2 linked regions of the Sus scrofa genome follow. The protein of the gene in region 2 binds, or shares a complex with, the protein of the main gene of each other region. Links are inferred from orthologs where the notes say so. Each region holds a gene or a part of one and is shown on either strand. Other genes may lie near its edges. The genes, in order: HSF2BP and C2H19orf57.

What was found.
Region 1: the proteins of C2H19orf57 (region 2) and HSF2BP are in contact, whole or in part, in a crystal structure (PDB 7Z8Z), measured with the Mus musculus proteins. The link is inferred for Sus scrofa from reciprocal best matches to the Homo sapiens genes BRME1 and HSF2BP. Residues at the interface, in NP_083321.2 of Mus musculus: Met541, Gln542, Asp543, Ala544, Thr545, Val548, Arg549, Leu551, Val552, Leu555, Ser556, Asn559, Ile562, Met563, Thr565, His566, Leu569, Lys573; in NP_083178.1 of Mus musculus: Glu23, Phe24, Val25, Lys26, Val27, Arg28, Asp31, Leu32, Arg34, Leu35, Glu38, Val39, Gln41, Ile42, Phe45, Leu46, Arg48, Ile49, Glu53, Leu54.

Annotation. Positions count from the first base shown.
Region 1 is NC_010455.5:206,626,172-206,630,501, forward strand, and holds the start of HSF2BP (heat shock factor 2-binding protein), read right to left. Parts: upstream 2,973-4,330; 5' UTR 2,833-2,972; intron 1,850-2,832; 5' UTR 1,629-1,849; coding exon 1,593-1,628; intron 615-1,592; coding exon 464-614; intron 1-463. Other genes in the region: RRP1B (ribosomal RNA processing protein 1 homolog B), read left to right, coding at 3,078-3,207. UniProt on the Homo sapiens protein: Meiotic recombination factor component of recombination bridges involved in meiotic double-strand break repair.
Region 2 is NC_010444.4:65,250,976-65,255,370, reverse strand, and holds the start of C2H19orf57 (uncharacterized protein C19orf57 homolog), read right to left. Parts: upstream 2,848-4,395; 5' UTR 2,770-2,847; coding exon 2,668-2,769; exon of another isoform or gene 2,396-2,667; intron 1,930-2,395; coding exon 1,878-1,929; intron 1-1,877. Other genes in the region: CC2D1A (coiled-coil and C2 domain-containing protein 1A), read left to right, coding at 3,132-3,191. UniProt on the Homo sapiens protein: Meiotic recombination factor component of recombination bridges involved in meiotic double-strand break repair.

The sequences.
Region 1 (4,330 bases), on a different chromosome or scaffold from region 2:
AGACTGACAACTGGTGTCCATCTAAGTGCAAACCTCAGGACGAATGGACACGTCCTTGAAATTTAAATCAGCGCTAGAAACGGACCCGCCCTCAACCCAGACACGAGTGTTTCCACAGACACGGCTGCCTCCTCGCAGGGCTGCCACACAGCAAGATCCCTAATCGCGTCAGAAAGGAGTTAATTTCTGGAACTTTTCAGTCGTAAAAGTACGAAAACCTCCTGCCCAACGAGGAAGGGGAGAAAGAAGAGCTGCTGCCAGATGCCCTGAGAGCTGGCGCCCCTTCCTCGGCACAAGCGCACAGGCGAGCCGGCTTCTCTGTCCGTGTCTGTCTCCCCAGCGTCATCGGGAAAACGCTAAGGGCAGCTCCCGGCTCACTCACCGCGGCCGCGACCCGCAGGAGGCGAACCTGCGGAGACAGACGGCCGCCCGGCACCGACGGCTCGAGGTGGAGAAGACTCACTTTTTTCCAGCATCTTCAGCTTCTGGAAGCTCTCCAGCACGTCCCCGTTGAGTATCCGGGGCAGGAAGTCCCGAATCTGCATCACCTCGGTGGTCAGGCGCTCCAGGTCCTTCTTCCTCACCCTGACAAACTCTTCCTTCGCCCCCACGAGCTGAAAGAGCAAGCGCATGTTGGCACCAGCGCGCTGCTCCTCCGACGGCCCAGCCAGCCGGGCAGCGGCCGCGTCCTTCCGGAAAGCCTCGGGCTCCCGGCTGCTGGGAAAGCGCGGCTTCCCCGGAGGAGCCCTCGGCCCCGCAATTCCGCCTCCCGAGTTTAAGCCCCGGCCTCGAATCGGCCTCGAATCGCCAGCCGATTTTTGTGTGTCTTTTTAGGGCCACACCCGCGGCACAGGGAGGTTCCCAGGCGAGGGTCCAGTCAGAGCTGCAGCTGCCGGTCTACACCGCAGCCACGCAGGACCCGAGCTGCGTCTGCGGCCTACAACGCCGGCTCCTTAACCCACTGAGCGCGGCCAGGGACCGACCGCAACCTCGCGGTGATGAGCCGGCTTGGTTTCCGCTGCGCCACGACGGGACCTCCGAGCCACTTTGTCAGGGCGAGCGAGGCCCCATTCCCGAAGGCCAAGGAACACGCCGGCAGCGCTCTCCTAGGCGCCAGCACCAAGCTTCCCAGGAGGAAAGGCCCTTCCCCCTGGGCGCCAAGCCCCGGGCTGACCACCCGGCCCCGCACTCGCAACCCGCCAGGAGACGGGCCGGGAGGCTGGGATCTCCCTGAACGCAGCTCCAGGGCGCGGCCGGAGGGGAGCTCCCGCTGGGGCGGCCGATTCGCCCCGACCCGCGCCCCGCCTGCCCCGCCTGCCTCAGGGCCGTGCGGGGGGGGCCCCCGGGGGGCGGCGCAGGGGCACCGGGGCACGGCCCCCGCCCATCCCGCGGCCCCCGCGCTTCCGGAGGCGGAGCCGCCGCCCCCCACCGCCGGCCCTGGCCACGCTGCCCGCAGACGACGTCCGGGGCCTCCCCGAGCCCCCGAGCAAGGCCCAGGCAGACCCCGCTGAGCGCGGGGGAGCCGAGGGCAAGAGCGCGAACTCGCGGGCGGCGGCCCGCGCCTCGGCACCGACCCGAGCCTCGGCACTGACCCGGCGCGGCTCCTCAGCGCCGCCAGCCTCGCCCATGGCGGCGCGGTCTCGGCTCCGTGCGCCTGCGCGGGCGCGCACGCGCGGACCCCTCACGCCGGCGAGCGCGGGAACGCGTCCACGCCGGGGTCAGGTACGGGGAGCCGCGAGGCTCAGACCTCGTAGAGCTTTCGCTGCATCGCGGTCCCCACGGGCCGGGGGTGTGGAGGCGAGATCCCGCGTGGGCTCGTCCGGCTTTGGCCGAGGTCGTAACTTGTTAACTGCAAAGAAGAACAGGGAGACCCACGTGTCAGTGTCCAGTGAAATCACTCGATTCGGGTCCTTGATGTTTGGCGAGGGGTGTTATTTAGACTAAGGGGCCATGCGTTCACGCGAAGCAGCCGCCGGCGGCCCCTCTCGCGCGCTCAGCTCCAAACTCCATTCGCGAAGGTCGAAGCTTTCTGACAACAGGCTCCGCCGGCGGCGGCGGCGGTGTCTGCCCCAGATAAGGGAGCCTCAGTCCGGCCAGCAGGTTAAGGAACTGAGACGACCCCATGGACTGGGAGACATCGTTTGGTCCATTCACTAGCCCCCATATGCCCACTGAGTTCGTAACATATGGTGCAAGCTCTGGGTTCAAAGGTACCGGTTACGGGAGTTCCCGTGGTGGCTCGGTGGTTAACGAATCTGACTAGGAACCATGAGGTTGCAGGTTCGATCCCTGGCCTCGCCCAGTGGGTTAAGGATCTGGCGTGGCCGTGAGCTGTGGTGTGGGTCCAAGACGCAGCTCGACCCCGAGTTGCCATGACTGTGGTGTAGGCCGGCGGCCATAGCTCCCATTAAACCCCTAGCCGGCGAACCTCCATATGCCGTGGGTGCGACCCTGGAAAAATACAAAAACACCAAAGAAAAAAAAAGGTACCGATTATCGCACAACTAGGACTTCTGTCCAAAGCCGGACACAAGCCGACACTGTCCGAGTGCCCGGAGTACGCGCTCTCCAGGCCCGCGGGTGCACGCACCAGCACACGCACCCAGTCCTCGCCCCGGCTCCGGGCGCCCCTCCAGCGGGCTGCCCGCAACCTCCCGCCAGAACCCCGTTCCCACCGCGGCCCGAGGAGGCCAACGTAAAAACCCGGTGCCGTGTATCTCCCGGGAACAGCTGCGGGTCGGTTGGATGGAGATTTTGTGAAGTGGGCAAGATTCCAGACCACGCAAAACTGGCCCTCCGTCTCTTCCCGGCCTACACCCAGCGCTGGCTAACCTCGCCCTCAACGGCCCGAGCCTTGGCGACCGAGAGGCAGCGGCGGCGGCGGAGAGGCGCGACGCGCACCGGAGGAGCGTCGCTCCGCCGGGGCCCGGCCCGCAGCTCGCGGAACGCTCTGCGAGCGGCGAGCGGCGCCTTTGTGACGTCATCAGCCCGCGCGCCGGCGCCTTCTGCGCAGTCGCGGCACGGCGGCGGGCGCTCGGCGGCGGCGGGCTGCGGCCGGGGATGCTCCAACGGGCGCGATGGCCCCCGCCATGCAGCCGGCCGAGATCCAGTTCGCTCAACGGCTGGCGTCCCACGAGAAGGGCATCCGAGACCGGGCGGTGAAGAAGCTGCGCCAGTACATCAGCGTGAAGACACAGAGGGAGACAGGTGGGCTCCCTGCGGTCCGCCGCGCACATGGCGGCCGGGGTGGGGGAGCGGGGGTGAGGGGAGGGAGCCGCGGTGGGGGGGGGGTCCTGGCGGGAGTGGGGGGCGGGCCCGGGGAGCCGCGGGCGGAGCGGGGAGAGCGTGCGGCACAGCCGTGTGCTTCTCTGTGTCCACTTCCTGCGGGGTCTCCACCGGTTCTCCGGTTGAGCGGCGGCGGCGGAGGGGGTTAGGTGGTCCGCTGAGGGTCCCGGTGAGCCGGAAAGCCGAGAACCGTCCCAGTCTGCCCTCCCAGAGCTTGCACGTGGGATCAGTGCACTCACCTGTTTGATTCTGGTGCGCTCTTCCTTGAGTCACGCCTTCAGTTGACCAGGACGGAGAAGTCCGAATCCCTACCCCCGAGGAATTTATCCCGGGAAATCTGGCGGGGGGGGGGGGGAATAGATAACTGAAACGGAACTCGTGTAAGTGGAGTAAAGGAAATGAAAACCGAGGAACGGGGAAGCTCCTCTCCAAAGACTGTTGCAGGGAGGCCTCTCGGGGTGATGTTCTCCAGATCTGAGCCGGGGCACGAATGAGGAGCTGGAAGAGCGGTAAGTGAGAGAGAGGGAGGGTGTTAGGACGCGAGTTGGGAAAGTAGGCAGTGGCCAGGTCACAGCGGGCTCTTCAGTTTGGGTTTTAACTGCAGCGGGGTGCCATTGAGGAATCGTATTTACCCGGTCCGGTGTAAACCTTTGAAGGCATGGATTACAGTGCGGTGAAGTTTTTTATTGCACTGAGGAAAAGTCCGATTTGCTGCTAGTGTTAATACATTGAGTCTGTTTTAAAGAATGGATGTCTCCCCCTGTGCTGATCGCTCAGTTAGCCTTCTTTTGAAGGCTTCTGGGAAAAAGAAGATAAACTCTCCTGGGAAGTCCTAGGAAGAGGAACGAAGCCAGACTTCCTGACTTCAAATCTGTTAGGGTCTTCCTGACAGACTTGATTTCCTCTTATTCCATAAATGTTGTGTGTTCCTAAACCGAACTTTCTAACCCAGACCTTTGCTGCTTGCAGCTCAGATATGCCCTTCCCACCTGGCACCTCCACCTGGATGTCCTCAGGCTTCAGAATGCCCCACAGAGGCTCATCT
Region 2 (4,395 bases):
GAAGGTGTTGAGGACAGGAACTGAGTCTGCTGCACCCTTTGATCTCATTGTCGCCCTGCCTCCCATCCCCACCTCAGGGGCCCAACCAGAGCAAGGCTCCAACCAATGTTTCTTACACAAACACGGTCCTACCTTGTGGTCTGCCAGAAAATGCAAAAATTCAGTCCCTTCATTTATTTAGTTTCTTAAGATGCCCAAACATTAGCTTGCTTCACTCATCCAATGGACGTTCGTACCAAATAAAAAGCAAGAATATCAACAGACGTGAAGAGGCTCCCATTTCCTTCCTATGATCTGTCCCCACAGAATTAATTGAAGAAACACTAAAGCAGAACCTTGTGTTCGACACCAAAGGCCAAAGACATCAGGATGGAAAGGGCTTCTTTCACTACCTGCCAGAATCATCTTCTTTTCTCCCCACCCCATCCAGGACACAGAGAAAGAGCTGTCCTGGGCCAGCCCAGAGCACATTGAACTAGGGAGCGCACTGCCAAGATGACCTGCTGTGGGTGGGCCAGGCTGTCCCCAGCTTCCCTCTCCAAGGTCAGAGAAATCCCTGTACCTCCAGGCAGCCTGCTGCTCATCACTGCACTAAACATCTTCAATCTGTTAATGATTTCTTTCTTGTCCCATATCTTGGGGAAATAAAAGCTCTACACCCAAAGCTCATTAACCACTAAGTGAAGGGGTTATTTCTAAATTTTTATGAAATTTAAATTACCTAAGGCAGTGACAGGGCAATGGAGCTATCCTAATGTAATTCTGGGTGTCTTTCTTTCTGAACAAGGAAATTCTGTATGTATATTGACAAGATGGCCTCAAAATGCTATGAAGTGAAAAACAGAGGATGCGGATCTGCACGTGTGATGATTCTACTTTCCAATAACAACACTCTACTTGTATATACAAAGAGAAAGTTTGGAAGTAGTATACTGAAGTTCATTTCCTATCTTTTTTATGTTGTACTATATGGTTGATCATTGTCCTGTGGTTGTGGGGGACATTAATATTAGGGGAAGCTGGGGGAGGGGTAGACAGAATGCTGAACTATTTCTGCACTTTTTCTGTAAGCTCAAAATTGTTTCAAAACAAAGCTTTTTTTTAATCTGAAAGGACAATCATAACAGAAGATATATTTGTGTACTATCATGGGTCTATTCTCAGTAGTTTACAAATATTAATCCACATGTGAGCTCTAGGGCATAGTTCTCAACTGTGGCACTGTTGCCATTTAGAGTACTACTGACATTTGGGGATAGGTCATTCTGTGTTGTGGGGGCTGTCCTACGCATTGTATGATTTTTGAGCAGCATCCCTGGCCTAGATCCACTAAATGGCCACAGCCCCTTGGCAAACACACACACCAGTTATGAAAAACAAAAATGCCTCTAGACATTGCCAAATGCTCCCCTTGACAGCTTGAGAGTCCCTGTTCTAAAGGAAAGGGTAGGTCCTCTATTTCCAGAGGAGGAAAGTGAGATACAGAGTAAGTCTTCTGCCATCACACAGTGAGATGAACTCAGGGTTTTGTTTTGAGAGTGAAGCACTTAGCACCAGATGCTAAGCTTGAAGCATGTCAAGCTCTACTCACAGGTCATCTCTGAGAGTGGGCAGCATAGAGGCTGTATCCCTTTCCTGAAGCCTAGTGGATCTTCCCAAGGCTGTGGGATCCCACTAGAGGCTGGAGGAAGCTCCACAAAGCTTTCACTTTTTACTGCAAGCACTTCTCCATAATTTACATTTTTCTTAGTAGCATGTATTAGGTCATTGTTGCTCAGGAGCTTGGTCTGGTCATGCTAGCATTTCTGCCATAAACCCACATTCCTCCTATAAGCAGAAGAAGCAATAAAGAAGTGCCAACTTGAACATCCAAATACCTGAGGTCCGAAGCTTCTTCCTCTTACTCATTTTATCCCTCCCTAGAGAAATCTGAAAAGGAGCAGATTTCGTCATTACAACCAGTTCCTAACTCGGTACAGACACAGTGGCCTTGGCTGAGGCCACCCCACCCCCACTTGGGCCCATCTGGCTGCCCCAGGGGTCAACTGGGCAGGGGAACATAGGGTGGGAGTCATAGCTACCTTGGGCTGTGGCAGGCTAAGAATTAAAATGCCTTCATCCTGCAGATAGCGGGTTGGGGGCTGGGGCCATGGGAAGCCCTGGGATGTCCCCTTTCAGTATCTAAGATGGGGTAGCCTGTGTGAAGCCCCCTCTCTCCACCCGGGTCTTTTGAAGTGACACCTAGTACACTTTGGAGTCATTTAAGTGCTTTAGAGGGGCCACCTGGGGGTCCTTTAAGAGGGGGCCTTCAGGGGATGCCTGGGGCCTTGGAACGGCAGCAGTCTTCACAGGTCAATTCCTTCCAGCCTAGAGGGCCTGTGAAGACAAAACCGACCTGGGCCAGAGAAGTCAAGGTCCTTCTGTCCTTATCGGGAACTGAGGAGGTCTACCTGGAACTGCTGGGGATAACTCGGTTAAATTATTTGCGAAAAAATTTTTGAGAAAATAAAAGGCAGAGTTGGCCCAAACAGAGGTCGAGTAGCTGAGGATCCGAGGCCCGAGTGCTCTGGACCCAGCTTCCGGTGACTAGGCCACACGAACCCTACCCAGGCCACCAAAAAGTAAGAAATGCCCAGACCAGGACCGCCAAGAGAGACTAGAGCTCACAAGTGGCCGCGCAAAGCCACGAACCAGGGTGCCGCTGCCAAGCCTCACACCGGCAAACGCTCCGCCTCTTTCCCGCGCACTATGAAGCCCCGTCGTGCGCATGTGCGATGCCAGCACCGCCCCTCTCACTCGCGTACGCCCGCCTCTTTCCTGAGCAACCCGTGGTACCTCCCACTACCCCTGAGGCAGCGCGTGCGCGCTCGCGCACTTCCTGCCGGGAGTTGTAGTTTCAGTGCGGCGGGCCCGGCAAGTCCAGTTGCTGTGCTCAGGTGCCGCGGCGCCCAAGGGCCGAGGCGGAAGTAGGGCGGCCACTTGAGGGGCAGAGGGTACGCGGTCGGCGGTCGCGGGGTGCCAACGAGGGGCGCGGGACTCAGGAAGGGCGCGTGCGCGGCCATAGGCCCCGGGGGAGAAGGCCGGGCAAGGCCAGGCCAGGGGGCCGGTGGTCCGAGTATCCAGCTTGGGAGATGCACAAGAAGAAGGGACCTTCGGGACCTCCAGGCCGAGGTGCCGCCACCGCTCGCCAGGTGAGTCTGTACTCCACGGCCGGGCCGAGAGAACCCTTCCCACCCTTGTCCAAGGTAGGGCCCCACCCCCTAGAGGAGTCAGATCTCCACCCCCAGGTGAGCCCCGGTCCCCGCCCCCTCAGGTTAGCGTCAACCCCCAAAATGGGGCCTACTTACTTCGTCTCCCCAGCTCCTTATGCCCCGCTCAGGGATTAGGGCCACCTGTTGCCGTGGCAGCTACTGTCGGGGAGGGGAAGGCCTCGGACCTGGAGTAAGAAAGGCAGTTATTACCCTCTTGGCCTGAGCACTGATGGAACCCTCTCATCAGTCGGGCCAGGTCAGACTCTTTATCCCCATTGTGCAGATGGGGACGCTGAGGCCCAGAGAGAAGAAGACACCTGCCCAAGGTCACAGGGCAGAGCTAAGTTGCTTGGCCAGAACTAAGTGCAAATCCAGAGCCGCTGCCATGAGCCCACAGGACTGTGCTTGGGCCCTTTCTTCCTCTCTTCATCTCCTTTGGGAGAGTTTGATTTTTTTCTGAGCTTTGCTGTAAGGAACTAGAGCCATAACTTAGTGCTCAGATATCAGAGTCTGGCTCACCTGAAGTTGCCTCCTGGCTTCTGCACATTGGACTTCACAGTTCTAAGCCTCAGTTTCCTCATCTGTAAAATGGAGGCCTTAAGAGGCCCTATGTTACAGGATAGCTGTGAAAATTCCTTGAGATTGTTTATGGAATGTACTGGAACATGGCACTCAATAAGTGTTGTCATCATCATTATTACTCTTAGGTAGAGCCATATAAAATTGACCATATTTGGCCATGTTTGACCCACAGAAAAGGTAATTTTGTGTAGTTCAGCCTAATATTAGCACATCATGATTAGTCATTAACCAGAATAGGATAGGAAGACAGGTATGTTATGTGGCAAAGGCCCCGCTTTCAACTTCTGCGTTGTTTGGGTTTTCTCTTTACTCTCAATGCCTCCAACCTTCCTGCATGGCTGTCTCTGCTGAAGATGCTGGAAAGCAAAAGGCCAGGTGTGCAGAGTGGCTTTGCTTTGGGGCAGGGTGTGGGCCCTTCTTTCCCGACTGAACTTGGCTAGCAGCGCATCATGACTGCAGGCTCAGAGCAGACAGCTGGGTTTCTCCACCTGCCCTTTGTCCCATGTTGATCTGTGCCAATGGGCCTGACCCATCTTGGGGCACCTGTTGTGTTCTGGGCCTG